Rattus norvegicus: one gene and its partners. Each later gene encodes a partner of the first gene's protein in a complex. Links are inferred from orthologs where the notes say so. Each region holds a gene or a part of one and is shown in the gene's direction. Other genes may lie near its edges.

Region 1 (10,340 bases):
GTCTCTCTGCATTAGCTCTGGACAGACAACCAAAAGTGCAAAACCCAGCAGTAAGTTACCAGAAAACTAGAAACGAAAGAAAAGTAAATATTTTGGGACAAACAAAAGAATAAGAAAACTGCAGCACTTGGGGAAAATGTGTGCATACAAATAATAGTGTAACCACCGGATTACTAAAATCTGTAATATAATCACAATGAAGGGATAGTGGACAGGTCACTGCAGAGAAGGCTTCATGGTTAAGAGCTCTCTCTGGCTGCTCTGCCAGAGGACCTGAGTTCAATTCCTAGCACCAACATGGCAGCTCACAACCATCTCTGTAACTCCAGTCCCAGAGGAGCCAATATCTACTTCCGGCCTCCGAGGACATCAGGTGTGCACATGATATGGTGAGATATAGATACAGCCGCAACTTCCATACACATAGAGTAGGAAGTTTTAATTAAAAAGAATGATAAGGGGATAGTTAGAATAAAAGGTCAATGGATGATACCAAAAGCTTTGAGTCAAAAAGAATTGTGTGTGTGTGTTTGTGTGTGTGTGTGTGTGTGTGTGTGTGTGTGTGTGTGTGTGTGTGTGTACACAAAGACATTTAAAAATCTAAAGTATTTGTCTTAGGAAGATGATAAGGATAGTGAGAAAGATAAAAACCGAAGACACAGACTTTGTAATATGTTGAGTTTCTGATACAAACACGTGCATCACTGTGGTAAAACTAAGTCATAGATCATCCCAGAAAAAAAAAATCTAGGAGGCAAAGAAGTGGTAGAAATGTTCTTCAGGAAACTAGACAATGCAGGGAATCTGCAGAGGTGAGGAAGCACTGGCCCAAGCAGTCTTTACCCTCACGTGGAAAGGGTGGGGTATTTTTAAATGCCAACAAAAAGCATCTAAAGGAGGCATCAGGCTAGAAATACCAAAGGTGGGGGTTGAGAACGGGGACTGGATCAGGATCCTGAGAAAAGGAAGAAAATCAGCTTTTCAATGAGAAAGTTTGTTAGACAGAGAGGCAGTTGTGTGGGTTTCCTGTTATGAATATGCTTGTGGGCATGTCTGACAGATGCTCTAGTCTATCTGATGAATGGCTAACAGAATTCCCAAACAGCTTGGCTGTGATGGTAGCAGGAAAGAGGAGAAGCCAGGATGTGAACACTGCCAGCCCTCTCACCTGTGCACCTTTCCCCAAGCCCCAGGTCACAGTGCTCTGTGAGAACTCCGGAGTCCAGGGGAAACATCAGGAATGGGATCTGACTTGCTCAAAGCCTTAGGCAAGCTCAGGCTAGAAATTAAAAACCAAAGTACCGGAGATCGAGACCAAGAAGCCCACATGAGAAAACAAAAGAATGAGACATGGCTTTCTAGACAACAACGAGCCGAGGCTACTTACTGTACAGATGACAGATCTCAAGGCCCAAGTCACTGTGCCAGAGATTCTTAGTAACACCTCAGTATTTATAGAAACAGGAACTGAGTCTAATTGGAGGGGCGGAGGCAAGAAATGAGATGATGTTAACCCTGCCCTGGCTAGAGACAGAGGTGAGGACAAGAGAAACTGAGTATCCAAAAAAAGAAGATAAACATGGGGAAGACAGGGTCAAGGATACAAATAGAAAAAGTGAGAGAAGAAATAGAGGGAGACATAAAACACATAAACTGAGCAGAAAACAAAACAGAAGGGAGAAGCAAGAGCAGAGAGCTGGAGAGAGACAGATGGACAGACAGAAAGACAGACTGAGACAGAGACAAAGAGACTGCAAGAGGCTTCCTTTCAGTCCTTGAGGTGGGCTAGGTAAATAGCCTACAGGCCAACCGTCATATGACTCCCTGGTAGAGAAGATCCTGGTTTGGTTTGGTTTGATTTGGTTTGGTTTGGTTTGGTCTGATCTGGTCTGGTCTGGTCTGGTCTGGTCTGGTTTGGTTTGGTTTGTTTTTTTTTTTTTTCAGGTATAACTTTTCAAACACACTTCCCAGAGCAACTAGAAAGTGACATGTGATAGGGCTAATTTTGTCCACACATCACTGAGAGTTTCTGTAAGACTGTCCTTGGGATGAGACTATCATTTGAATCAGTAGCTGACAAAAGCCAACTGTGCCCCTTATCCCACCAGATGAGGCCTGAACAAAGGAAAGGCCTGGTTCTCTCATGAATAAGAAAGATCTCCTCTTCCCATCCCATGGGCAAATACCAATCCCTGACACTATTAATGATACTCTGTTATGCTAGCAGACAGGAGTCTAGCATGGCTGTCCTCTGAGAGGCTCCACCCAGCAGCTGACCCAGACAGATACACACACCTACAGTCAAACAGTGGATGGAGCTTGGGGACTCTTATGGAAGAATAGGAGGAAGGATTGCAGGCTCCTAAGAGGATAGGAACTCCACAGGAAGACCAACAGAAGCAACTAACTTGGATCCTTGTCGCTCTCAGAGACTGAACCACCAACCAAAGAACATTCATGGGCTGGACCTAGACCTCCCTGCACATGTGTAGCAGATGGGCAGCTTGGTCTTCATGTGGGTCCTGAACAATTGGAGCAGGAGCTATCCTGACAGCTGCTGCCTGTACATGGGATGTGTTCTAGCTGGGCTGCCTGGTCTGGCCTCAGTGGGAGAGGAAGCGCCTAGCTTTGCAAAGACTTGAAGTGCCAGGGTGGGGGCATTCCCAGGGGGCCCCCAGCCACTCAGAGGAGAAGAGGGAAAAAATGAGGGAATGATTGTAGGAGGGGGTGACTGGGAGGAGCAGTGAGCAGGATGTAAAGTGAATAAGTAATAAATAAATAAATAAAATTTTTAAAAGGAGGTCTCTGCTTACCATTTAGATGGACCATGTTTCCCTCATTTGAGGATCCTAGAATTTTATTTTTATATATAACATAATCTACATTATGCACATACATATATGACATGAAAGCAGAAAGAAAACTAGGGGAAGGAAAAATACTAATGGGGGAGGACTGAAAAGAGGAATAGGTTGGGGCTGGAGAGACAGCTCAGTGCTTAAATCCTGAGTTCAATTCCCAGCAACCACATGGTGGCTCACAACCATCTGTAATGGGATCTGATGCCCTCTTCTGGTGTGCATGAAGACAGTATACTCATCTACATAAAATAAATAAATCTTTAAAAAGAGAGAGAGAAGAATAGGTGAGAATATCCATCTGAGGACAAAGAATCTATGCCAACAAGAAAACTTCTCAAAGGAGCTGAGGAGAGCCTCGCCAGGTTAAGAGTACTTGCTATGCAAGCATGAAGACCTGAGTTAGAATCCCCAGCACCCACATAAAAAGTCAGGACTTAGCTCGTGAGCCTGTCACCCCAGCATTGTAGATGGTGAGACGGAAGGATCACTGGGGTTTGCTGACTGACAGCCTAGCTCCAGGCTCAGTGAGAGACACAGTCTCTAGGGAATAGAGCAGGACACTCAATGTCCTTCATGTCTGGCCTTCATACACACACTCATGAGTACACACACACACACACACACACACACACACACACACACACACACCTGTGCATATAGCACACATTAAAAAAAACTTTAAAAAAAAGAATGCTGGGCAGTGGTGGCACTTGCCTTTAGTCCCAGCATTCAGAGGGGCAGAGCCAAGCAGATCTCTGAGTTCTAGGGCAGTCAGGGCCACACACAGAAACCTTGTCTCAAAAAAAAAGAAAGAAAGAAAGTAAAAAGAACCTCTATACTTCTTACTCTGAGAAGGATCATGAGTTTCCTCTGGTCTTCTGAATAAAACTAAAACATTGGTTCACAGGGTTTGAGTCTGCTGGCTCTCAGAATTGAACCAATACTTGCTGCCTGAAGATCATAAAACACTCATTTTTCATAATCACAAATGCTTTTTTTTTATTTTCTTAATTGTGTATGCGTGTATCTATGATTAGGAATGTACGTACACGTGAGTGCAATTCCTGTAGAGGTCAGAAGAGGGCATAGGTTCCTCTGGAACTAGAGTCGTGGGTACGTGGATAGCTCTCTCTCTCTCTCTCTCTCTCTCTCTCTCTCTCTCTCTCTCTCTCTCAGAGCCATCCCTCCACTGCCAAAATTTTTTATAGCATAAAGGTTTTTTTTAAAGATTTGTTTATTACTTATTCATTCATTCATTCACTGGCTATGAATACATTCTCACTCTCTTCAGACACACCAGAAGGGGACATCATGTGGATGCTGGGAATTGAACTCAGGACCTTTGGAAGAGCAGTCAGTGTTCTTAACCACTGAGCCATCTCTCCAGCTCCAGCAGAGGCATCTTAATAATCAGTTCCTGCCCCTGCTTACAGATCTATCCTTTCTTTTGATCATGCTATCTAGCCACCAAATCCTTTCCTTAAATGTACTAGGCTTGCTCTCATTCACTTTAAGTCCTCTGCACTAACTGTTCACTCCACCAGAAGGGCTCTCCCTCCAAAACCGCAAATAATAGCTGGCTGCCTGCTTTCTTCAAGTCTCCACCCCAGCTTGATACCTTCACTGTGACCTAACCTAAACTTTCACAACTTTTCTGCCTTCATAACCTCCACTGATCATTTCTTTCTCATAGCACGGTTAAATAATGATGATGGTGGTGGTGGTGGTGGTGGTGGTGGTGGTGGTGGTGGTGGTGGTGGTGGTGGTGGTGGTGGTGGTGGCGGCAAGGAATACGATGATTACTATCATAGCATTTTCTAACATAGGATTTACTTTATCCTTTTCTTTCCCCCAAGAGAATGCAACCCTTTGTTGTTTAGTTCACCTGTATACCCAAGTACCTAAAAAAGAGCCTGGTGCATACTAAACATTTAAATTGTTGAATGAATATGCCTTCCTAGTGATACCTTATGAAGCCATCACAAAGAAAGCACTATGCATGGGCATTCAGGAAGCAGAGATAAGGAGAGCTCCAGCCAGCGTGGACTGCGGAGTAAATTATGAATCCAAAATTCAATTGACTGATTGACTAATAAGTTAAATGGATGCAACAATGAATCTCCTTTAAGACTGATATTTAATATCCAATTTAAGCCTAAAACAAGAATTGAGACTTTTACACTACTCTGTGCCGCCACCTGGTGGCAATTGTGTAGATTGCTAGTTGCTTCCTCCCCACCCCCAGGAGGTCCCAAAGTTACTAGGAACTACTTTAGCTTACTACATACTGAGTGCGCATCGGACAGAAATTAAAGCGCACACAGATCACTAAACTTTACAACCAGCCGGAAATTCCAATGCCCAATAGTGAGCAAGATATGGGTCACGTGGTACAAATTTAGCCAATCAAGGTTCTAATACTACCAACTCACGCCCTTCCGTTCTAGCCTCTCTCTTTCTCGGCAAGATGGCATCCCCAGCCGTACCGGCTAGTGTCCCTCCCGCCACTGCAGCCGCAGCCCCGGCGCCGGCCGTCACCTCAGCCCCGGCTTCAGCCCCGACCCCACCCACGCCAGCTCCAGCACAGGCTGCGACTCCCGCTGCGGCACCGGCTCCCGTCTCGTCTGATCCTGCTGTAGCTACGCCTGCAGCTCCGGGCCAGACCTCAACCTCCACGCCAGCCCCTGCGCAGACGCCGGCGCCCTCGCAGCCCGGGCCGGCCCTCCCGGGGCCTTTTCCTGGCGGCCGCGTGGTCAGGCTACATCCAGTCATTTTGGCCTCGATCGTGGACAGCTATGAACGCCGCAACGAGGGAGCTGCCCGAGTTATCGGAACCCTGCTGGGTAAGTTCTGGAGAAATTAATATTTTCTTCAGTCCATCTTCCTCCTATTCTCGTTCATCGTCCTTGAATTCTTATCCTGTTTATCTTGTTGCACCTTCTTGCTGTGGCTTGCCTTCCCAAATGATTTGAATCCTGCCGAATTTCAGTTAAGCCACAGGCATGTGCAAGGAATACGTATGAGCGATTGCATAGTTTGCGATAATTGAGCTACATATTATTTTATATTCCCAAGAGTGAGATAAAGAGAGGGCATGCTGCCAAAAACGAAGGCCCAAATGCCAGCAAATTCAAAGCCCTTGACCTGTTTAAACACAGAACCCACATTTCCCTCTTATCCACTGACCTACCGCCACCCCAACACACACAGATCGTACCCACCACCCACGTTAGGGAAGAGGATGTGTCAAAAGCTTCCTCCAGTTCACCAAAAAAAACAGGTTATTTCGAAACATATTCTGGATATATAGCTTGTTTTCCTGAACTTTTCAGACAAACGCTTGTCCCAAGGTCTTCTCACATACTGGTTCCTAGAGAAAATCCTATATATGCATTAGGGGGATATTGACCTGGAAACCAGGAAAGGGAATAACATTTGAAATGTAAATAAGAAATACCCAATTTAATAAAGATGGGGGGACCTATATATGCTCAGCTCCAAGTTCCTGCTCATGCACACTCGAGCACACACACACACACACTACCTCCCTCTCACTCTCCTTTGATTTCCATTTGGACACAAACTGTTGTGTTTACAATCATGATTCCATGTTTACAATCATTGCTAACCTTCAAGATGAAGAGTAATCTTTTCTTTGCCTGTATTACAGATTTGGGGAAGTGGTTTATGTTTAAGTAGCTTGTAAACTTGAAAAGCACTAAACACTGTTGAATATCATTCTCTGGGGACTTCTGAGCCTATCAGCCTTGTTTCCTCTCTGCCTCGGTGACAGCTTTTAGACATTGCAGTCCACTCTAGTTGTACCCATCATCTCTTACTGGTGGTCTTCTAGCAGGCCATGCACCGTAGAAGATGATCCAAGAACTGTAGGGAGGACAGGGGTTGTAGTCACACTCCAGCAGTTACTAGCTTTGTGTCCCCTGACAAATCACCGTCAGAGCCTTGTTTAGCAGGCAGGTTTTTGCTTGTTTTTGTTTTGTTTTCCAAGGGCAGCAGACATTTTTTAAAATTTTTATTTTATGTTCATTGGTGTTTTGCTTGCATGTATGCCTAAAGGTGCCAGATCCCCTAGAACTGGAGCTACAGACAGTTACGAGCCACCATGTGGGTGTTGGGAATTGAACCCAGGTCCTCTGGAAGAGCAGCCAGTGCTTTCCACCACTGAGCCATCTCTCCAGCCCCAGCAGACAGTTTTTGTGAGAATGAAATATTATAGCAAGTAGTTAATGGCTGGCATACCTCAGGTACAGCAACTGTTGGTCATCCTCTGTCACATAGGAGACCATACCATACATTCCCTTGTCTTTGACAGAGTAGGCGTTTACAGGAACTTAGAGTTAATACCTTGTCTTTTTATCAGAACACACTTGCATTTTCTTTGCCACATATCTTTCCTGCTCTTCATTTTATTTCAGTCCAGAACTCTAATCTCAGTGTCTCTGTAGTTGTAACCTTTAACCGTATATTGGCATTCTGTAACTGCCCTACTGTGAGCTTCTGTAACAAAAGAATTTTGTATCGGGGACTTGCCACATAACAAATACTTTGAATTTGCTATCTAATTTCCAGTCTCTGGAGCTGTTTAATTAAAGAAATAAATGTCTACCCAAGGTTTATGTTGACCCTGTTTTATCGTAGGACGGCTGTAGTGTATGGTTCTCTATCAGGCTGAGACCCACTCACTGCTCCCACTGTTACAGAACAGTTACTGGTAGAAAAACAAATGAAGCAGTATGTGCTTGGTAGAAGCTTAGACTTTCTTGGTTCTTAATTTGTAAAAGATTTTGTGTGGTTAAATGAAATCATCGTTGAGTTTCATGCGTCATAGAGTTGTTAGGTACTTAGAATTTAAAATTAGTCAAAGGAATTCTGCTGTAACCTTAAACTCGAGATGGAAACACAGTCCCTGTAAGTAACTACTGTACACAGGATAAGCATTCTGCTTGCAGGTACCTGTGGAAACGTAGATGTAACTACTTAGAAGGTTATGAAGGAGTTGTACATAGCAAGATGTGCAAGGTCATGGTAAGGTGTAACACATTTTCAACGTGAAGTAAGTCCTTAAATGGACAGTATCCACATGTGATTCCAAAAGGAGCAAGACCTGGATTTAAAATCTTGCGTGTTGCTGTAGGACTTTTAAATAATTTTCAATGACTATGCCCATAGGTTAAAGTTCTTTGTAAGCACTAGCACTACTAAGCCTAGTGTCCTTTATCCTTTAAATAAAAACCTTAGCTATTCAAATTATAGGATATAAAGATTACTAGAAGTGTGTTCTAAATATCATAGTTTTGAAAACTCTGAGAATACCCAGGAATGCTTTTTTTTAATCCCTGAATCTCAAAAAATAGCATGACAGGAAATTGAAAGCTGAAAAACGTATTTGCTTTCACTTTATGTAGTAGTTCCAAAATGTATCACTATTGAGAAATAAACATTTTTTTAATTTAAGAATGAAACAAGATTTTAAAAATAAAGCCCTTGGCAACTCTACTGTCTGAAGAGGTCGTCATCAGCCCTTGGTGGTTTGGACACCTACCTGCCCTTGGGGCTAAGAAGACTCCACCATGCTCATCTCTGCATGAGGCCCTTGTGCTCATTCCAAAGCTGAGACCAGAAGAAATTAGAGAATATGGCTACTTTGTGGAGAGTAGTAGACCTGAGTTGGGCCTGGACAGCAGATTGAGGGCATTCTGGTAAAGCAGACGCACTTGTGAAGCGGAGGCAGAGAGAGATGTAGGAGAGTGAAAGATGGGAAATAGAGATGACGGGACATGGTGTGATCAGAAGTGCAGCATTAGAGGATGGGTGGGTGAGTTCTAGACCTGCAGTTGTGCACAGAAGAAAGGAGAGACAGAGTTTGACTTGGTCCTGGTAGATATTCCTTCTGAGGTGCCACTGAGTGTGTCAATGGATTTTTCAAGTAGCAGATTGAGTAAGCAGGGCTGCAGGGTAGGTCACAAGCCTGCCCTTAGTTCAGTTCCCAGAACCCACATGATGGAAGGAGAAAACCTCCTGCAGATTGTCCTCTGACCTCTGTGGGCAACCCATAATTAATCAGTGGGAAAGAAAGGCAAAATTTAGCAATAAGTATGAAGAAGCAAATGTAGAGAGGTGTGGGCAAGTATGTCCTAGCCACCAGAAGATAAGAAGTAACTGAAATAAAGAGGTAGATGAACTCACCTACCACAGGGATTGTTAGCTGTGTTATTAAAAAAAAAAAAAAAAAAAAAAAGTCAGGAAATATTTTCAGCTTTGTGTGTAGTCTGTCACAGCTACTCGACTCTGCCTTTGTAGCTAGAAAAAAAAGGCATAAATGATGCAAAAGAGATTAGGCACATAAACAAGAACTGAAATGTTTCTGGGTCAAGACTTGACCTAGAAAAGGAGCATAGACCAAAAACTAGGAATGCTAACAGTGCTGAAATACCGAGGTGTCAGGGCAGCCAACAGATTAGGAAGAGGAGGGAGAAAGCTAGAACAGACTGGTGTCCTGGGGGCCCTAGGAGAAGAGGCTCTGAAATGGGGGAAGCAGTCACAGCGGTCAGAAGTTGGTGAGTAGTTAGAGAATGTATGCCCGTGGATTAAGAACGCTGTCTTAGGGTTCCATTACTGTGAGCAGACACTATAACCAAGGCTACTCTTAGAAAGGACAACATTTCATTGGGGCTGACTTACTGGTTCTGAGGTTCAGTCCATTATCATCAGGGTGGGAAGCACGGCAGCATCCAGGCGGGCATGGCACTGGAGAAGGAGCCGAGAGTTCTACATCTTGTTCAAGGGAACCCAGGAGAAGACTGGGCTTCCCTCCCTTGTGGCTAGAAGGAAGGTCTCAAAGCCCACCCCCCACCCCCACAATGGCTCGCCTAGTCCAGCAAGGCCACACTTCCTAATAGCAGCACTCTCTGGGCCAAGCATATTCAAACCACCACAAACACAGTTCAGAAAATGAAACCATAGCACTAGCTACTAGCAGAGACATGTTAGAAGGGGTAGGAGTAAAGAATTTAAGGGAAGGTACCAGGACATCAGAAGAGAGTGAGGTTGGGACCCATGGCTCAGTGAGATCCAGGAACTAGTATGAGAGTTAAGGGTCTATGGTAAGGACCCCTGTGGGGGTGGAATGACTCTTTCACAGGAGTCTCCTAAGATTATCAAAAAACATGTGTATTTAGATTACATTTATAACAGTAGCAAAATTAGTTATGAATTAGCAATGAAAATAACTTTATGATTAAGGGTCACCACAACATGAAGGTCACAGCTTTAGGAAGGTTGAAAACCACTACTCTGGAGAGTACAGAGAATTGTGGGGAAGGGCTGGTAGTGGGAAAATAACAGGCAAAGGAGACCTTGAGAAGGGACACTTAATCCAGTCTGGTGATAGAAAGAAGGGTTGGGGATCCTGAGTTTGAGTTCTCTGGGAAATACTGGTTCTGTTGATGCGGAACTTGG
Region 2 (10,262 bases), on another chromosome or scaffold:
ACTTTCTTCCAGTGCTGAGGTTGCAGGTATGAACCACTGTTCCCAGCTGCATCTATACTGTCTGTTTCAAGGGATTCGTCCAGTATACAGCAAAGTGCTGGGCCAAACAGTGTCTGCAGCAGCTGCTGTTTCTCTTTAAGGTAAATACCTAGAAGTGGGTGGAATGCCACAGGATCTGAGATCCATCAAATCCCTGTGCATGCCGCAGAATTATATTCTGTCTTTGAGATCGAGTTTCCTAGAGCCCTGGCCATTCTCTGACTCTTTATGTAGCTGAGGCCAGCCTAGGCCTTTTGCCTCCACTTCTCAAGTACCAAGGTAACAGCCATGCCTCTCCACCCCCACCACACATACACACCCAGCCTCTAGAGGAGTTCAAAAGGCAGCCAGGCACGGAGGCAAAAACTCAAGCCTCAAATCTGCTACCTCGAGGGTAATGCATGGTGCCAAGATGAAGGTGAGTTTAAGCCACAGTGAAGGGAAAGGCATCAATGGTGGCGTGATGTTCAGATACGGTACAGGGACCATGAAGATGGCTCTGTGATTAACACAGTGCAGCTGAGCCTAATGGTGTGACTTAGATCCCTTGATCCCAAATGGTGGGAGACGAGAACCAATACCTGAAGTTATTCTCTGATCCCCACATAATCTCACACAATATTTAAAAATGTTTTAAAAATCTGTTTTAAGGGTCAGGCATGGAAGGTGCCCTTGACCTATACTCTGGAGGCAGAGGAGTGTGGATCATTGCTACGAGTTCAAGGCCAGCCCGGTCTACACAGTGATACCTTGCTTTCTTTTGTTTTTTAAAGCTTACTGAAGGACTGGACATGGAGGCTCATGCCTCTAATCCCAAACCTTGAGGAGCGGTTGGATTTCTGTGAGTTAGAGGCCAGCCTGGTCTAAAGAGCCAGTTCCCGGACAGCCAGGAGTTAGACTCTGTCTCCAAAACAAAACAGTCAAAAGCCAACCGTGCAAGCCATAGGTTGTAGTCAGTAGGCAGCACTCCTCCATGGCCTCTGCTTCACGCGCTAAGTTCCTGCCCTGACTTCAGTACAGGACTATAAACTGTAAGATAAAGCGAGCCCCTTTCTCCCTACGTGGCTTTCGGTCATGGTATTTATCACAGCGATAGAAACCTAAGACAGCACGCCCAGTATGCACTGGGGCTCCAGTGTTTGCCGTCATTCAAACACTGGGGAGGTAGAGGCAGGAGGATTGGTAGCTTGAAGTCATCCTCAGCTACCTAGCGAGTTTGGGGCCAGCCAAAGCTACACAAGACTCTGCTCCCCAGAAAAAGAGCGACACCATTTATTTAGTGGGTTTTTACTGTGTAGTGCAAGCAGCCTTTGGAGGCTCACTGCTGCTACCTCAACTGATGACGGGCATATGCAGCCCCCCCCCTCCACTACACAGCCTTCTAACAGTCACACCTTTGCATACAATTTGTCATAAGTTGTACTACTAGGTTCCAAGGAAAAAAATCCTATTAGTGCTTTATTTTTGTAACCTTTAAAAACTGCCTGGCCAGTTTTCTTTTTATTTTGTTACAAACAGGGGATTGCTCTGTAACCCAGGCTGGCCTCAGTCTTGAGAGAACACTCCTGTCTCAGCCGGGTGTGTGGCCCCGTGGGTCACTTTCCTAAAAACCCGCTTTGCAGCTGGCATTCTTTCCTTGGTTCCCCAACCTCCTTCCTTCTCTGACTGACTGTTCTACTCTGCCCTCTAGTGGCTACTGAGAGAAGCTTTCTCACAAGAAAACACAGTAAGGTACCTCAGAAAATCTTAAAGTGACTTTGTTCTCCAGCGTGGAGGACAGAGACCTCAAACTAACTCTTTTTTTTTTTCTTTTTCTTTTTTTCGGAGCTGGGGACCGAACCCAGGGCCTTGCGTTTGCTAGGCAAGCGCTCTACCACTGAGCTAAATCCCCAACCCCTCAAACTAACTCTTTAGTCTGTTTGTCTGTTTGTCACTTGAGTCACGACTCCACTCTGTTTCATCATGCCCAGCTGAGTTCAAACTCTTAGATTTTCTGCCTCTACCTCCCTAGCATTGGAATTGACCATTTTGTTTATTGCATCCTTAGAGAGAATGACAGTAAATGCCAAATGTAAGTTGATTATCCAACCTGCTTTTACAGCCATACCACCCATCCTTAGATGGTGCCTGACCTCTTCTGATTCCATTACACTTTCGTGTTGGCGTTCTTGGTCCTGAGGGTCCACTGAAGAAAGAGAACCACTTGAGGATGAATTAAGGCCTTTCTGGGCGCAGGGAAATCCAGTCTCTATGGACTGAATCTTGAACATCCTCACAAGATTTCTTCAAGGTCTTAGTGCTTCTAGAAAACAGCTATTCACGCTGGTGTTTACCCTAGACGCCATGATTCTACAAGAACTTCACTCCAATTCAGTGTGTGAGAACACACCACGGCATACGTGTGGGCTCAGAGAACAACTTGCTAGAGTCAGTTCTCTCCTTCTCCCAGATGGGTCCTGGGGTTGAACTCACGGCAACAGGCTCATGGAAAGCACCTTCACCCACTGAGTCATTGGCCAGCCCAAGATACAAGTTCTAAGTGCCGGGAGTATTGGCCATTACACACGGAGCTTGGAATGGGTGTCCCTGGAGGCAGAGAATCTGTTATAGTCTTCATTTACTTGATAAGAGCTTCACATGGGAGATAGTTTAAGGTGGCAGGAATAGAACTTACGACATGCTTTTGCAGCTAAGGAGGTATTGGGACCTAGGTAAAATATTTTAAGGCCTAGATAAAATGTTAGGGCCTAGGTGACTGTTACCTGGGTAGCCTACCATTATAAGGAAACTTTCCCATGTCTCTGCTGTTACTAAGAAACTTTCTAATGCCGAGATTGATTACGTATTCTGTTATGCTCTGTGCCCTTGGAAATCAATCATGATAGAAGTCAGTAGAACGGTTTTGTATCATGACCCACAATAAGCCTGGACCCGAATCGGCCACCCAGCAGCACTTCCTGAACCATACATAAGTTTCTATGGCACTTGCCTTTGTAAGCTGCCCCTGGGATGGACCCCAACATAAGAGAGACACCTGCACCAGTGTAAGAAACTATTTGGAACAAGACTTCCATTTTGAGTAGGAGTTGAGTAAAGATTACATTCCCAAGACCTTCCTGGGAACTGACAACCTCAGAGAGCAAAAAGAGACATGAGCATGGATAACTGACATCCTGGTTGGCAAGTTTTTTTTTTAATTAAAAGATTTATTTATTTATTATATATAAGTACACTGCAGCTGTCTTCAGACACACCAGAAGAGGGCATCTGATATCATTACAGATGGTTGTGAGCCACCATGTGGTTGCTGGGATTTGAACTCAGGACCTCAGGAAGAGCAGTCAGCGCTCTTAACCACTGAGCCATCTCTCCAGCCCCCTGGCTGGCAAGTTAAGACTTGAATGTTAGACAAGGCAAGTCCCCTGCCACAGTTGAATACCCCAACCATTGGGAGCAGGGTAAGTGTACAACAAAGACATGATCCCAAGGAAATCTGCCTATCCCTAAATCCTGATTGGTGAAATAACTTGGCACAGATGTTTGTGGATTTGGGGCTTAACAACCCTGCAGGATCTTAGCTTGGGGTTCAGTCCCTGAATCTGGAGTGTGACCTTGGTCAACCAGTCCTGGGATGTACGCTAAATAAACTGTCCGTGTCTGTCAGAGATTGGTGTTCATGTGGTTTGTGAAGCGATTCATTGACCCCAACAGGAGGCCAAGACTGCGGGCCTGAGCTGCAGGACCCACATAGTGGAAGGAGAGGCCTCCTGCAAAGTGTCCCCTGACCTCCACACGTGTACTGTGCATAAGGGTTTGTGAGTGCACAAGCACGGTGTCTTCAAACACAGTACAAACACACACGCAAGTTTGCATGATAAAACCTAGCATGCGTCACAGAAAAGGAAGCACAGGAGACCAGGTGGTCTGAGTCTATATCTTCTTCAACAAACCAGAGTCCTGGTATCATCCAAACAACACAAATCAAGGGCATTCTTTTTTTTTTTTTTTTTTTTGGTTCTTTTTTTTTTTTTTTAAGGGCATTCTTGATACATGTGCTTTTCCCCCAGGCTTGTTGGTATAATGCCAGTTATTTGTCAATTGCTTGCATTCGGGAGTTCAGGGGCAAGCCTGGGGAACAAAGTAAGGGTTTTAGTTTTGGATACAGAGTCTCATGTAGCACAGGCTAGCCTGGAATCCAAAAAGTAGCTGAAATGGCCTTCAACTCATGATTTTCCAGCTTCCACCTCTAACACTGGGTGATAATTAAAACTAATTCTCCAAGAGGAGGGAGAGAACGAATCAGTTTCCAGTGTGGTGGTTTCATGTTCGTATTCCCGGCACTTGCTAGAATGAGGTGGAAAGATTCAAGGCTAGCTGGGGTACATACACCACAAGGTTCAGGACAGCCTCGTATTCAAGGCCACCCTGGGAATGATGTTCATGAGCGTTTTGGAGTTGAGACAGAAGGATTGTGGGGAGTTACTGATTATCCTAGCTATAGAGTGAGACACTGACATCTAGTTCCATCAGCCTAAAGAGGGAGTAAAAAGTTTAAAACGCTCTTAGAAGCTCTTTTCTAGACCCCCTTTCCAGGTTGGATGCCAGCGCTTTGCGGCACGCAAAACATGCATGTCCACATTTGTCCACAGGGAGGCGCTGTGGTCACCGCGGTCTGGCCGCTCTAGGCAGCGGCCACAGCACCGGAAGCCTCTTCTACACGGGCTTCCGGTCTTTACCCGGGCTGAGAGCTGCGTGGAGTAGGACTTCGAGATGCCGACTGGCGACTTTGAGTAAGTGTTCGGTGGCGGTGGGGGTCGCCAGAGAGGCCGAGTGGGGGCAGCTCTGGGGTGTATGGTGGTCCAGGTAGCGCGGGGCCCGGGACCCGCTCACCGATCTCCTGTCCCCGCAGCTCGAAGCCCAGCTGGGCCGACCAGGTGGAAGAGGAGGGAGAGGACGGTGAGTGCTTGTGCGCGGCCCCGCCCGCTGCGAGACCCGGATGCCCACGCACAGGCTAGGGCCGCTTGTGGCCAGTCCCACCCTCGCTTTGCGCTCTGCCCCTGGAGCGGTCCCCCACCCCAACCCCCGCCATTGGCTTGAAAGTTCCAGCGCTGTGGCTCACTTACCTTCCTCCCCGAATTCCCTCCGGCAGACAAGTGTGTCACCAGCGAGCTCCTGAAAGGAATCCCTCTGCCCACCGGTGACACCAGTCCAGAGCCGGAGTTACTTCCTGGAGGTGAGCACCGTCCATCCCTGCCTTCTTCTCCCTTCTCCCTTCCGATTCTCAAGCCTACTTTCCAGCCAGTCCCATTACCCAGGAGTTAGTTTCTGTGATCTTCCTCCAGACCCACTGCCACCTCCCAAGGAAGTCATCAATGGGAACATAAAGACGGTGACTGAGTACAAGGTAGAGGAAGATGGGAAGAAGTTCAAGGTAAGGGTGAGGTGGGCATATGTGGTCAGCGTGACTTGTTCAGGGGCTCTTAGATCGGTGGTGAAGAGTGTCAGTGTTGCTTTGGATGGCTGAGGCAGGCCTGAGACTCGGGAAGCACTCCTAACTCTTTCCCACCTTCAGATTGTCAGAACCTTCAGAATTGAGACCCGGAAGGCATCAAAGGCTGTGGCCAGGAGGAAGGTGAGAGTGTACTTATTTGGGGGATGGGGGTGTTCCCCAGGACTGACCAGAGGACTTAGGAAGCCCCTTTTTGTTGATGTAGAATAAAAGTTTAGTGTTAGGCCTTGAAAGTTTAGGACCCAGGAGTAGATGAAGTTAAGATTTTTTTTTCTTCTCCTTTTGTGCGCAGGTGTGCGCACTTTTGGTTTGAGATGGTCTCTTTATATTAGAAACTAGACTGGGCTTGCTGTTCCCACATAAGTACATGCCTCTGATCTCAGATCTTCATTGGGATCAACTCTGATGGGCACTTCTGTGACAAATACTGTACTGAGACATATCCAGCCCTCTTGGTTTTTCTGTTTGTAGTTTGTCTGTTTTTTCCAGACAGGGTTTCTCTGTAGCTCTAGCTGTTCTGAACTCTCTGTAGACCAGGCTGACCATGAACTCAGAGGTCCACCTGCCTTTACCCCAGACTTAGGATTTAAGGCACTGCCACCACTTCCTGGCTTGTTATTTTTGAGAGACTTTAGCTCTACAGTCTTCATTCAGAATGCTTCTGCCTCCCGAGTCCCCACTTAGATTCTTCCTCCTTTGTCTACATGAAGAAGCGAGCAGCCTCTACTTACCAAGGGGGCAAGGGCGTCTAGCCGGGGCAGCACTGCCTGAGAGCAAGCACCCCTCCCCCCCAAGTCATCTAGCTCGACATGGCTTCTCAATCCCCACGCCAGTTTAGGGAGGCAGGGGGCTTTGTGGCCCCCATGTTACAGGAAGGAAATGAACCTCAGGTCTAACTAGCTCAAGGTTCCTAAGATCTGGGGATTCCTCCTTCATTCCTGATGGGAGCTGGGCTACTGACCTGCCCAGAAACTGCAGTGGCACAGTTGAGCCCCATGCTCAACTTTTTGTGTGACTTTGGGATCAAGCTCAGGTTGTTACAAGTACAACAAGTAAACTGCACCTTTTCACACTGAGCTACGGCACCAGCACCTTTTCCTTTTCTTTTTTTTTTTTTTTTTTTTTTTTTTTTTTGGTTCTTTTTTTCGGAGCTGGGGACCGAACCCAGGGCCTTGCGCTTCCTAGGTAAGCGCTCTACCACTGAGCTAAGTCCCCAGCCCCCTTTTCCTTTTCTTATGTATTTATTCATTCATTTAGATGGGGCCTCATACAGCTCAAGCTGGTTTAGAGCTTGTGTCTCAGGATGGCCTGCAGCTCAGGATCCTCCTGTTTGCACCTGGCAGATGTTGGAGTGATGTCATGTGCCGCCATGTCTATCTTAGGAAGTGGGTATTGTCACTGTTACCACACGGAAGGCCTCTAGGGAAACTAGAACATAGGAGTCAAAGCCCCGGAATGGTTGTCTGTCTGGGGTGCTGCACTGTGGGATCCTTCCTGCCTTCATCCTCACCTCCCCATCTTTTCCTGGGAGCCCAGAATTGGAAGAAGTTTGGCAACTCAGAGTTTGACCCGCCAGGGCCCAATGTAGCCACTACCACAGTCAGTGATGACGTCTCCATGACATTCATCACTAGCAAAGAGGTGAGCAGGGTGAAACTGGAACCTGAGAAACGCAGAGGGAGTGGGGTGGGTAGGACATAGCAGCCCCTTCTGAGCCATCCCTTCCCCACCAGGACCTGAACTGCCAGGAGGAGGAGGACCCAATGAACAAGCTCAAGGGCCAGAAGATCGTGTCCTGCCGCATTTGCAAGGGCGACCATTGGACCACCCGCTGCCCCTACAAGGACACACTAGGACCCATGCAGAAGGAGCTGGCTGAGCAGCTGGGCCTGTCTACCGGGGAGAAGGAGAAATTGCCAGGAGGTGTGGGCATGGGGCGCCTGGGAGGGGCCTCAGCTGTTCCTTTTGTAGTGTACTGTTTTCTTTCCCTATATCACCTAGGGACAACTTTGGGCATGGTGGTCATTCTGATGCAAGTGTGACTGATGACTTACTCTAACTTGGGTGTGCGTGTGTATATGTATGTATGCACACATACATTCAGGTGACACCCACATATGTGCTGGGCTCAGTAGACCGAAATCTAACATGTCCTGTGGGGGTAACTGCCTTCTGTGACTTGATTCTTGCTATCATGGATGTGTTGCTGAGGGACATCCTATAGTCAGGCTGCTGCCAGCTGGTATTCTCTAGCTTGTAGGGAGGGCTCTGCAAGCCCGGATCACGTCTGCCCTGCTCACCTTGTCCATGTCGTGAGTAGAGACTCTGAAGGGTTGTAGCTTCCTGGATATGATGTGGGTCACCAAAGGGTGGCTGGACGCCTGTCCCCAGGGGTGGGCTGAATATCACTTTTGTCTGCTGCTTTCCAGAACTGGAGCCTGTGCAGGCCGCCCAGAACAAGACAGGGAAGTATGTGCCTCCTAGTCTCCGGGACGGGGCAAGCCGCCGTGGGGAGTCTATGCAGCCAAACCGCAGAGGTGAGGAGGGTAGGAAAACCCAGGGAGCAGGTGGTACCTAGACACCCTGTAATTAGTCCTGCGTTGTGGGCGTGGGTCTGACTACGGCATCCTCCTCACGGCTACCTCTCCCTGCCCTGCCCACAAAGCTGATGACAATGCCACCATCCGTGTCACTAATCTGTCTGAGGACACTCGTGAGACTGACTTACAGGAACTCTTCCGGCCTTTTGGCTCCATCTCCCGAATCTACTTGGCCAAGGACAAGACCACTGGGCAGTCCAAGGTGGGTGAACGGGGCTGAGGGATGGGTAACTGGAGAGTAGGCATCCCCTGACCCACTTCTCACCACCTCCATGTCTGCCTCGGCCCACAGGGTTTTGCCTTTATCAGCTTTCACCGCCGGGAGGATGCTGCGCGTGCCATTGCAGGGGTGTCTGGCTTTGGCTACGACCATCTTATCCTCAATGTCGAGTGGGCCAAGTAAGAACCCTTCTACCTTTCCCACATTCTCCCTGGCCCTGTTATGTGGTTGCCAGGTCTGTCTGAAGGAAGGTCCTTGCCAGGCATGAAGCTACTGGTCCCAAGCAGGCAAGGCCTGGGCTTCCCTGGTATGAGGTAACCTTCAGCATCACAGGTCCCCACCTGCATCCTGACCACCTCTCTTCCTCTTCCCAGGCCTTCAACGAATTAATAAGACATCTGCTGCCTGCTGCTGTTGTCCAGATCCTCAGGGACAGAAAGCTTCCAGTAAACAGACTCCAAATACACTGTGTCCTGCTCGTTTTCATGGGTCTCCCTGTGGGGGCGAAGCTGGCCCCTCCCTCAGCCTATGGGTTTTTTTTTTTTTCGGAGCTGGGGACCGAACCCAGGGCCTTGCGCTTGCTAGGCAAGCGCTCTACCACTGAGCTAAATCCCCAACCCCAGCCTATGGTTTTATTAAAGGACCTGCCCAGGTGGGAGGCAGCTGGCACTGGTGAGGCACCAGCCTTGAGGGTAACTGGAGGACCCTTGCTTAGGATCTGTTGTCACAACATGACATGGGTGGCAGCACATGCTGGGTACCACAGCCATGTAGAGCAAGGGGTACATGCATGCGGCCAGGGGCACAAGGATGTGTATTGTCAGCCAAAGAAGGGCCCCAGCTCCTGCTCAGCCTGCGCCTTATTGGAGAAATTGGGGCAGTGAGCCAACCAGCACATCTTGGCATCCACATGGAGCACTTGTGTGATGTGGTAGGGCGCATAGGAGCAGGCATGGAGAGCCACACCATTGGCCACCAGCACTACCACACGCAGCTTCTGGGCTGTGGTTGAGCCCTGGCACCACCAGCCCCAGGACACTGTCGGTCATTGGTGTGAACAGCAGAGGCAGGAAGCCACCCAGGCCTGCCAGGATCACACTGTAGGCTCTGAAGGCCTCTGGCTGTCCGTCCCCCATTTCTAGGTACTTGACAGAGGCATTGAGATTGTTGTTGCTGCTGCCCCACGTCTGTTGGGCTGTCTCTGGTAGGAGAAAGCGTGGGGGGCAGCACTCAGGATGGCCATGACCCAGCTGACAGCACCGATAGCCCAGGTGCTTGGGTTGCAGGTGACAGGTGTCTGTGTAAAGAAGGGGTGCACAACCACCTTGTATTGGCTGAAACCGAGGCAAGCAGAGGATGCTGCTGCTGAGCAGGTTGCAGGCCCATAGCCATCCCCAAGCTCCAGTTTTCAGGCGGGTGGCAGTAGGCAGCCAGAGAGGCAGTGTTCGTGCATAGAACATGTTGCTGACTGCTGGCTGCACAGAGAAGGCCTCTGTACTTGGGTGATAAACTTGCCCACTGTGGCCAAGAGGAGCTCTGCAATCAGGATGAGCCAGAGGAAGTCCTGAAGACGGATGTACTTGCCAGTAGCTCCCAAGTACTTCTGTGGGCTGGACAAGCTCCCTGTGAGCAGAGTACCTGACTGAGCCACCCGCCTCAGGCCTACTCCTCCTTTTCCATACACCAGTTCCTACAAGTGACACACAGCCTGGTAGACCCCTTACTGACCAGACCAACCTACCTTTAGGTGGGATGGACCAGGGCCACACTGATTTGGAAACAAGGCTGGGTAGGCATAGGACTCTGTACTGAGACTACAGAAGCTTGCAGTTGTGAACTTCAGAGCACTCCCCTTCTGAAGTTGCTAGGTTCCCCCCAAACCACTGGAGGGTAC
Region 3 (10,201 bases), on another chromosome or scaffold:
TAGCTAGTCCTGGAGCTCTCAATTCTCTGACGGTAAAATACTTTCCAGTGGGCTGACCTCATTGCTGATGAATTCTGAGTGAGTCCCATGAAGAACTCCATAGGTCTTGGGTCCTTTCTTCAGCAAAATATATAAACATTCACAATTTGTCACACTTGACATAGACTCTAACCACTATCCATCCACTTCACCTCAGGGGTGTAGCCAAATGCTTGCCCAGCCTTGTGAAAAACTCTAGCTTCAGAGTCTGGGAACTTTAATGCTGCAAAGGAGTAACACCTCAGTCCTAGTGGCCTGGGGTCAGTTTCTAAATTACCTTGACTAGCTGACCTTGGCTCCTCTTAGAGCCTCAGTTTTCTCATTGATTGAAAAACCTACCCCGTGTTTTAAGAAGAGCAGAGGAGATGCGGGTTGGCTCTCTAGAAGTGGGGCTGCCCACATCAGCTGTCCCATGACACATTGGTGAGCCTGCTGTAGAACCTGGGGCCTGTCTGCATAGGAGGCCAAGCCTTTCAATCAAGCGAATAAGGCTGGCACATAAGTACAAGATCTGTCGGTAATGAAGAAAAAAATCTAGCCACAGGCCAGCTGAGACACTTTGTCACCCTGACTAATCCAAATACCATGACACCTAAAGAGCTAGGAGGTTCTGCAGGCTCATGGGGCTGATTGGCAGGAGAGATTAAGTTGAGTAGTACCTTTATCCCAGGAAGTGTTTGTCTACAGACCAGCATGTGCCCCCGGCCCCTTCAGAGTCGTGGCCTTGTCCAGGAAACAGTGATGCTAGAGCCATCGGAGCTCAGGTCCTAGACAATGGCAGATGGCTCCATGACTATCCCCTTCTTCATCCCTGAAACTGAGGGACACCTCCATGCACACTGGGTTGCTTTTCCCACTGCCGTAATAAAATACCTGATGAAAGCCACTTAAGGTTCGAAGTTCCTGGGCGCAGTTCACCTCGGGGTAGAGGAGTCCTCATGGCAAGAGTTTGAGGCAGCTTGAACACTGCATCCAGAACTGGAAAGCAGAGAGAAATGTATGGTGATATTCTGCTCACTTCTCCCTTTCATTGACACTAAGGTCTCCAGGTGAGGGTGGGGGTGAGGGTGAGGGTGGGGGTGCCATGCACGTTTACAGTGTGTCTCCCACCTCAGTTATCGGATAAGTCCCCGACAGACACACCCAGAACACCCTGAGGTTCTAGATCCTGTCAAGCTGACATCAGTACTAACCACAACACGTGCTTTCTCTAAAGAGGCTCCCTGGATGTGCCCTGGTCCCAGTCCAGGCTCTTCCCTGGGAGGAACTCCACTGTGTTCCAAACCACTCAGTCATGCATTTGCAGAAACCAGACTGATGATTCTTAGGAAAAGCCATATTTTATAACCCCAAGCAACACCTCCTGCTCTACCTGCCCTCCAGAGACTTGTACCTTACCCAACATGACATCTTAGTCTCTTTTCCTGTGATAAAATACTCTGGCAAAAGTAACTCCAGGGAGAGAGGGCTTACTTTAGCTCACAGACTCAGGTTACAGTCTATCATGGCAGGGGAAGTCAAGGCCTCATGGGCTTGAAAGATCTGAACACAGTCCATCTACAATCAGAAGAGACCAGGGAATGCACCAATGCTAATGTTTGGTGCTCTGTTTTATCCAGTCGGTACAGCCCCACTCCATATTAAGATAGGCCTTTCCACAGCTATTAGTATAATCCAGACAGCCCACCACAGCATGGCTGAAGCCCTTCTCCCAGGTGACTAGATTTTGCCGAGTCGACAGTTAACACTGCCTTCACAGCGCCAACCTTCATCGCTTTCTTTTGACTCTAGAAAAGCTTTTGGCTCACTTTTGACCTTGAGGAGCTGAGAGACTGCAGAGGCAACATGGCAGAGGGTAGGTGATGTGGCCTCTGGCTTAGAAGTCACCAGTGCCCACATAAGTGGTCTGACCACCCCACGATACCATGTTGAGGAAGCCCAGACCCACGTGGGCTCAGCACCCAGGCAGACTCATAACCAAATGGAGAGAGGGAAGCAACCATTATCTGCCAGCTACTCCATCTCCATCGATTCTAACCCGGCAGCACCATAGACCGGAGGCCAGAGTCTATCAGCCAGTGCTCCCAGGCCCCGACCCACAGGAACTGAAAGACCAAAATAGGCTTGCTGCTGTTTTAGTGGCTGAATTTTGGAATGGTTTGTTGCACAGTTTAAATTTATATATTCTGTGACCAAAACACCAACAGGAAAAGAGGATTTAGGATCTTGGTTTCAGGGGATCTGAGTCTGTCACAGTGAGGAGGTGTGGTGGGGTAGCCCCATCTGTGAAGGCAGGAGTAGAGGGGCAGTGGCTGTTCACATGATGGAAGGCCTGAAGGCAGAGGGAGCCGGCTAGAGGTAGAAGAGGATATGACCTTCAAAGGTTCACCCTCGGTGATCAACGTGCACCAGGCAGATAGATGCCATCTCCGAAAGGTTCCTCAGCCTCCCAAAACAGTGCCAAGACATGAGCCTGTGGAGAAGAGTCTGGGCTCACATGCTCACACATTACAGATAGCAGAACCCAGGGTGACCACATGTTGTGGGTATTCTTCCATGGGGGACATAAACGAGGACGTACCCCTCCTTACAAGGCCTCAATAACAAACAAATTTGAAATCCACCAAAGTCCACCCTGAGGAACCAATGAGTTTGCTGGGCTTGTTTACAGACCATGGGCAACCCCAAAGTGGCCTCACCCCAACATGGATGACGACTTCCACACAGCTGATGAATAGAGGCCACCCCCACTCCTTCTGGCAACCTTAAATGACCTAGCATCACCTGAGTCCATGAGGCCACGTACACTCAGGGGAAGAATCACCTATTGTCTGGGCATTGGGGAGAGCAGCTAGCCTCTGGGAGCCACATCGAAAAGAAGGGAGAAAGGAGGGAAAGACATGATGGGAACAGTTCAGCAAAGATACGCGCCTCTTCATATTTTAGGGCATTTCGACTTTCTGTTCATCTGGGGCCTTGCTATAGAGCCCAAGCTAGCTTCAGGGCTGCCCAGGCTGCCCTCCCGTTTTCAGCTGTTGGGAGCTTAGGATCAGGTGACCCAGTGAGAACTTGCTTCAACTTTTTAACAACTGATCTAGAGCCAGCAGGATGGCTCAGTGTTCAAAGCAAGTGCCTTTTCTCACAACCTCCGACTTTGCCAGCTCCTGTCTGATGTCATGCTCCCCTCAGTTTCAGAGTAGGGGGAATCCCAGAACATGCTGCCAGACCTGTCTAGACGCCAACTCTTAAAGACATATACATGACAGGACCAAGGCAGTGACAGTACACCCTCGGAGCAGAAAGAACAGCAAGTGTAGGACCTGCTGAGAGAGGAATGAGAGCAGGTCATGGTGGCCAGAGCAGAGGTTGTGCAGAATAGCAGGGAGCTGGTCAAAACAGGCAGGGATGTTGGGCCATGGGAAGCTAGTCCAGCTCCACGTTGAGCTTCCCTAGGAAGTGTGGGAAGAGCTTTGATCATGCTGAGGAGCGACCCACTGGGAGTATGAATGATTGAACAACAAGAGGAGATGGTCCTATGAGGAAGACAGCACTCAGATATGGCTGAAATTACAATACAGACTAGAATGTGGTGGGGAAAGGAAGTTAATGATGAGGACCCAGCAGGACTCACCAGGGAACAAAACTTGGGAAAACTGGAAGGCAAGCTCATTGGTAATTTAATGAAATGGGTAACCCCATCCACATTGCCATTTTCAGCACTAGAAAGTGGAATGTCCTTTGACAGCCATTTATTTTACCCCTTATTATCTAGCATCTAGCATTTCCAGCTTGCATTGGCTGGGGGCGGGGCGGGGGGGGGGGCCGCGGGATCTGAAGGCCATAAAACTAGTCTTGCCTAAACCTGGACACCACATGTGTCTAAGATGTATTTTCTAAAAAAGATCTGCTGGGAAACTATCAAGGAGACCTAGACAGCCAGATAGAAGGAACCAACTTTAAATAAAAGTCCATCCTGAGTTTCTTTACAGGTTTCATAATTGCCTAGCACTCTTTGGCTGCAGGGGGTGTTAGAAGTCAAGAGGTCGCACTGAACTGCACCGTGTGAATCGTGATAATCAATTAACACGCAGACTCCTAGCCTGCAGCTTGGATAGCCCTGACTTGAATATCAATTTAGAGCGAGACACTCTAAATCTGCTTTAAAAAAAAAAATCAGAAATCTCCGTTGAAAGACTCTTGAGATCTGTGGAACACCGAAGCTCTAGCAACCCGGACTACACAGGTCATTTGCCACCCTGCGTACGTGCCACAGGTAACAAGCACAAGTAACGCGCCGGGCCACCCTCCAGGTAAGGCTGAGCCAGACCAACAACCAGACTGGAGCAAGCGAGAACGTCGGGGAATTGTGGGAGGCAGAGGCGGACGCGAAGCATTGTGGGACACCGCGCGGGTAGCTCTGGCTCCCCGCCCCAGCTTCTCTCGAACCGAGCGTGACCACGTTTCAGTTCTGAACCGCTCAGGGCGTCCCCAGATGCCGCTGACGTAATCACCTCACTGTGTCTGGCACCTCAGAGGCGAGGTAGGACTTTTAGCCAAGAGCTGTGACGGACTTCCGGTTGGGTCTCGCTTTACGGCTTGACGTTTTTCCGCTGACTAGAAGGACGTGATGGGCCATTTACGACAGCGCTGGTCGCGTTTTACGGCACCGGCCTGCGCGCGCATCTTCCCTCCTGTCTTGGTCCCTGCGAGTATCGAGGCTATCGCAGTTTCTTACCCGGGCTATCTGTCGCCATCCGGGCCCGCGGAGGCCGTTGCAGGTGAGCGGCTTGTTTGGTAGGACCCTGCAGACCTCGCGAGCCAGCCTGGGCTAGGCATGACTTCGGGGGCTCCCGGAAGAGCCTTCCTTTACGTCCTCTCCTGTCGTCGGTGCCCCTCCGCTGGGCGGGGCGGGATTCGGCCTCAGGTGGTCCCAGGCACGACACAGAGTGCAAGACACCGGACATTGTGTGTGGATCCCTCTCCCGACGCTTTGCTGAGGTGGATTGGGGGGCGAAGTAGCCTCCTCTAGGGGTTCGAACAGATTCTTTCTATGCTCCGAAATGGACGACTAAGAAGAGTAGGTTCCAGCTCTGGTCCGAAACAGAGCCCAGGAGTTGATGGCTCCATCTGTAGTGTCCACAGTGATCCACACCACATTGTGGCCAATACAGCTGTCGCGTCGTTTTAGTTTTTCCCTACCAGTTTCTTTCTGGTTCATTTGTGCAGACGCCAAAGGACCAAACCCTGCCCATCCGGGGAGATGATGCATGTCAAGCCTTGAGCCATCTTGAACTTGTGACACCTCAAGTTTACAATTGCTTTTGAGGCAACCTGTTGAGTATGGCTTAAAGTCCCAGATGGTCAGACTGCCAGCTAACTACAGGATAGCCAGAAGAAGGACTTAAGTAGGCCACCTTGGAAACTTTTCGTTAGCAGAGCTAACTTTGTGTCTCAAAGATGGGGTGTGAGGGAGCAGTGGTGGTAGTGTCCGGTATAGTACCCCGATATCCTGGGGCCTCTTACTTCCTGTCAGCTGTTTGAAGGCAGCCACCCCACCCCCGTGTTCTTCCTACAGCCTAGCATAAGCTCATATTTGGAGAGTGAAGCTCCCAGGTTTATTCCTTGTCCCTGTCACCTAAATATTTAGAGAAGGAGGAGAGGTTACTAAGTTCTCTACTGGTGTTCTGCAGTTGCTCTCCAGCCTTCAAGAAGTAGTGTGATGACTTTTTCTCTGGACAGTGCCAGAGGGTTTCTTTGTGCCCCCCACCCCCCTTGGTTTGGTTTTTGATGGGAAGTGTCCAGCAAACCCCTGGATTACACAGCTGTTAGCTTTTACTTTTCTAAAATGAGCGTAGTGTTGGACACTATACTATATATGGACTTCAGGGCCAAAGATACACTACCAGTGTTCAAATTTCTAATCATCTAGCACTGTGACTTTTATTTCACTGTACCTTTAAGTTTTCACCCAGAAAATGGGAACAGGACTTACCCCACAGGACTGTCTGAAGGGGTTAATAAGTTCGTGTGCTGTATGCAGTCAGAACAGTGTCCTGGTGCTACTGCTTATGGGCTTTTGACACAGCCACTTTTGCAGCCTTTACCCACTGAGCCTTCTCACTGACCCAGCCTGACCTTGGTCACCAATGGTGCTTTTGCCTGGTCGCATGCACTGTACAGGATTTGTGCTGATGGAAGATTGGAAGGACCGGGTCTAGCCAAAGGTTCAGGGGGTGGTTTTGTTTGTTTGTTTTTAGTCCTTTGTTTTTTAGGATTTCTTTGTTGCCGAGTATGCACGTGTGGGGAGGTTGGTGGTGTGAATGCCAGCGTGTGCGTGCCATGGCATTCAGCTGGAGGTCAGAGGCCACATTTGGGAGTCAGTTCTCGCCTTCCACTTCGGTTCCACCTTGACCTGCGGCACCTTCTCAGCAGCCCGAGGATCTTTAAAGCACCCCGTGCTGGTGCCTTTGTATAGCTGAGTGGTAGTTGTGCCGGATGACAACTGTCAAAATTGATGATGGCTCTCTGATATAGACTGTTTTAGAGACTGAGCTTAGAGAAGTTTGCTGTTGGATGCTTTGGTGAAGGTGTTTCTGGGGGAACTCATCAGTTTTACCATCTTTGATAATTGGGGACACCTTTCTCATATGTTATACTGAGAAAGAAAAGACGTGACACCCATCAAGCATAAGGTACACACACAGCTTCATTTCAAAGATGTTCCCCAAAAAAGAACCTGTCCTAGATTAGTGAGACATAGGAAAATGTTGCTACTGTTGGCAGTGTTATGAGTTTTAAGTGTTCTTAGACCAGTTTACAAGAAAACCCTGTCTATAGTGCTTGAGAGCTAGGGCTCTGCCTCGTGTGCACCTCTGTAATGCAGCTTCAGGGGAGGGTGGAGTGCCTGGGACTTAGCCCTTCCTTCTAAAGCTTCTCACACTGCTTATATTTACAGGTTTTAGAAGATGGCGAAGTTTATGACACCTGTGATCCAGGACAACCCCTCAGGCTGGGGTCCCTGTGCCGTTCCTGAGCAGTTTCGGGATATGCCCTACCAGCCATTCAGCAAAGGAGATCGGCTGGGGAAGGTATTGGGTTTCTTCAGCTGGGGCAGCTACTCCCCAACTCCCCATTTCCTTTCTGTTCTCTTTTTTTTTCTTCTTTTCTTTTCTTTTTTTCAGAGCTGGGGACCGAACCCAGGGCCTTGCACTTGTTAGGCAAGCGCTCTACCACTGAGCTAAATCCCCAACCCCTTTCTGTTCTCTTGATGGATATACTTCCTATGGGGATACCAGCTGAGGAAGGAATGAGTCAGATGCGGGGTAGCCGCACGAAGAGCATCAGAGGCAATGCTGAGGCCTTTGTCGCCCTTGCTGTGTGAAGTTTCTGGGTCAGCAGAAGCCTACTCGTCTAACCTGTCCTCTTCCTTGTCTTTGCTGTCCCTAACAGGTTGCAGACTGGACAGGGGCCACGTACCAGGACAAGAGGTACACAAGTAAGTCCCTCAGTGGGCTGCCCACACCTAGGCCTTGGGAAGGTCACTACTTTTTTCCGTAAGCCCCACTTGAAAATATTTTAGAAAGAAAAGGAAATGGTAGTGGTAGTTATTGGGAGTATACTCTAGAATGTGTGCATAACCCATGGTTTTGAAAGCAGTTCCTGGACAGCCAGAGACTCCTAAATGCTACCATTTACATTGTATTGCTTGGGACTTTCTGAAGCCATCAATCAATGGACTCTAGTCTTTGGGCCTTGTTTTAAAGTTCTGATAAGGGAAAATGCTTTTCTTGGTGCCAGTTAGATGTTTGGAAGTGGCTGCCTAAGGTACCAAGTTAAGGTGGATGAGATCAGAAAGAAAATCTGTCATGATCAATGGCCCTGTTCACAGCTCTGGGTGATGGTCAGGGATGGTGTTACAGCTCAGATTCTTACGTGACCACGCAGAGGTAAAGTGAGTTAGAGTGAGAATCTTGGGCTCTCTTGGTAAGTTCTTTAGCCCCAAGCTCTTAAACCTTAAATATGCATGTGAATCACCTGAGATCATGTCTAAATACAGGTTCCCATCTGTCAGGTCTGGGCAGGAGCTTTGAGTACCCATCTCACAAGCTTCTGGCCAGTGCTTCAGGTCAGAACCACACTTCAGAGAGCTGCCCTGAGCAGTCTGTAGGCAGCACCTAGCACACACTGTCACCTTTGCCTGCAGACAAGTATTCCTCTCAGTTCGGTGGGGGAAGTCAGTATGCATATTTCCACGAGGAGGATGAGACGAGCTTCCAGCTAGTGGACACAGCGCGTACACAGAAGACGGCCTACCAGCGGAACCGGATGAGATTCGCACAGGTAGGCCTGCACCTCAGAGCTCTTGCTGTGGCAGTTTCTGCTGCTCAGCAACCATCTTGGGATACTGATGAGAAAGGAAAGACTTGCAGGACTTTGGCCAATCCCACGTGGCCATTTAGTAACCAGTTGTATCAGAATAACTTGGAGTGGGTCCAGGGACGTGTTGAAGGATTTCAGGTTTCTGTTCACAGTAGTTCAGACATCACACAAGGCTGGGAACCCACTGCCTTGCTAAATTGCTCCATACAGCCTTTGTTAATTAGGTGGTTTGGTAGGGTGCCTCCTGCTACATAAAGTTGCAAATTAGCAACTCCAATAAAACTAGTAAACCCACATTAAAGTGGGAATGAGAGTCCAAGCTAACACAAGTACTTATCCCCTTAGCCCAAATTCTGTAGATGCTACAGAGCAAAAGTAAAGAGACGTAAAACTTAGAACTTCACACCCTAAACTTACTCTCAAGAGATCATAAGCCTTGTCTCCAAGGAGTTAACATGGGTCTCTCTCTGCTCTGCAGCGGAACCTCCGCAGAGACAAAGACCGGCGGAACATGGTGCAGTTCAACCTACAGACACTGCCCAAAAGTGCCAAGCAGAAAGAGAGGTGAGCATCCCTTCCTCCAGGTCAAAGTCCTGTTCCCGTATGGGCTGTGTTCAGAAATCACAGAGCCAGGACAAGATTGACAAAAGAAACCAAAACCTCCTAGCCTATCGCCATCCAAGACTAGGTCATGCCAGACGGGCAGGAAGTAAGTGGTTGAGGCGGGCATTTATGCTGTAAAGCTGTAGGTAAAATTGAAGTGGCTCTGTGGCCTCTAGATTCAGCGTACCTGGTTCCAGGAAGCATTGTTTATTCTCTATCCTTTGGGCCCTTAGGGTTGAGCACAGCAGCCACCACACCCTAGCCAGGGCTGCCTTGATAGTAACTGGGCTGAGTACTGGTCGGTACTAGTAGTATGCCTCTGCTCACATCCCCAGTGTGTGCCTACAGGGTCTCTGCACCTAAGCCCCGGTTTTCTATCCTGGTAGCAGCTAGAAAGGAAACTGCAGTTCAGCCTGAAGCCGACACTAAAAGCACAGCATTCTGTCTGTCTTTTCAGAGAACGAATTCGCTTACAGAAAAAATTCCAGAAGCAATTTGGAGTGAGGCAAAAATGGGACCAGAAGTCACAGGTAGTGTGTCCATACTGGGACTCTGTTGGGAATTGGATGGGTTTGTTTTCTTTTATGTGTAGAGATAGGAGTCACCGTGTACAGTTGCATGGTCTCTCATTCACTATTCACTGACTTGTATAAAGAAACCTTGTGGCGGAAGGTTTCTATGATCCCAGTCCTAGACAACGCTGCTCTTTGCTATCTCCAGATTTCCCTGATGGGGGCACTTCATGTAAAATGGAATCATAATTTGTGCCCTTTATTTAGTGTGCCACTTTTAAGATCTGTCCCTATCGCAGCCTGTGTTGGTGCAATCTTTTCATGTTTTCTTCGTGTCTGTTAAGGATTGGTTCCAAGCACCCTCAGAGATCATGTATCTTATCTGCATGTATCTTATGTGAGTCTGCTCGTGGACTTTAGCCCGCCTCTGGACTGTTTCTGTGGGTTAAGAGTATGGTTTTTAATCTCGGGTGATGCTCCTCTGTCAGCCACCTAGTGGTAGGTAGGGTTTCAGCATGCTGACCATCCTGCGTGTTCAGTTTACGTGTGAGTGGGTATAGACCGCTGGTATAAAACTTGCAGACATGGAGTCAGCTGTACTGACAGCTTCTCGCCCAAGAGTGGTTCTTTGTATAGATTGCCACATTTCCTTCAGCCATTCATCTTTC

The links. Proteins that work in one complex are often made in the same cells at the same time.
Region 2: Eif3f (region 1) and Eif3g share a complex: the UniProt entries of both Homo sapiens proteins name them as parts of the eukaryotic translation initiation factor 3 (eIF-3) complex. The link is inferred for Rattus norvegicus from reciprocal best matches to the Homo sapiens genes EIF3F and EIF3G.
Region 3: Eif3f (region 1) and Eif3d share a complex: the UniProt entries of both Homo sapiens proteins name them as parts of the eukaryotic translation initiation factor 3 (eIF-3) complex. The link is inferred for Rattus norvegicus from reciprocal best matches to the Homo sapiens genes EIF3F and EIF3D.

What each region holds. Positions count from the first base shown.
Region 1 is NC_086019.1:172,363,758-172,374,097, forward strand, and holds the start of Eif3f (eukaryotic translation initiation factor 3 subunit F), read left to right. Parts: upstream 1-5,304; 5' UTR 5,305-5,328; coding exon 5,329-5,704; intron 5,705-10,340. UniProt on the Homo sapiens protein: Component of the eukaryotic translation initiation factor 3 (eIF-3) complex, which is required for several steps in the initiation of protein synthesis.
Region 2 is NC_086026.1:27,704,484-27,714,745, reverse strand, and holds Eif3g (eukaryotic translation initiation factor 3 subunit G), read left to right. Parts: upstream 1-4,799; 5' UTR 4,800-4,809; coding exon 4,810-4,829; intron 4,830-4,948; coding exon 4,949-4,995; intron 4,996-5,188; coding exon 5,189-5,272; intron 5,273-5,381; coding exon 5,382-5,470; intron 5,471-5,611; coding exon 5,612-5,671; intron 5,672-7,084; coding exon 7,085-7,189; intron 7,190-7,281; coding exon 7,282-7,471; intron 7,472-7,977; coding exon 7,978-8,085; intron 8,086-8,213; coding exon 8,214-8,350; intron 8,351-8,440; coding exon 8,441-8,547; intron 8,548-8,742; coding exon 8,743-8,758; 3' UTR 8,759-8,832; downstream 8,833-10,262. UniProt on the Homo sapiens protein: RNA-binding component of the eukaryotic translation initiation factor 3 (eIF-3) complex, which is required for several steps in the initiation of protein synthesis.
Region 3 is NC_086025.1:111,427,278-111,437,478, reverse strand, and holds the start of Eif3d (eukaryotic translation initiation factor 3 subunit D), read left to right. Parts: upstream 1-4,738; 5' UTR 4,739-4,817; exon of another isoform or gene 4,818-5,037; intron 5,038-6,994; 5' UTR 6,995-7,004; coding exon 7,005-7,127; intron 7,128-7,488; coding exon 7,489-7,534; intron 7,535-8,242; coding exon 8,243-8,379; intron 8,380-8,896; coding exon 8,897-8,982; intron 8,983-9,478; coding exon 9,479-9,551; intron 9,552-10,201. UniProt on the Homo sapiens protein: mRNA cap-binding component of the eukaryotic translation initiation factor 3 (eIF-3) complex, a complex required for several steps in the initiation of protein synthesis of a specialized repertoire of mRNAs.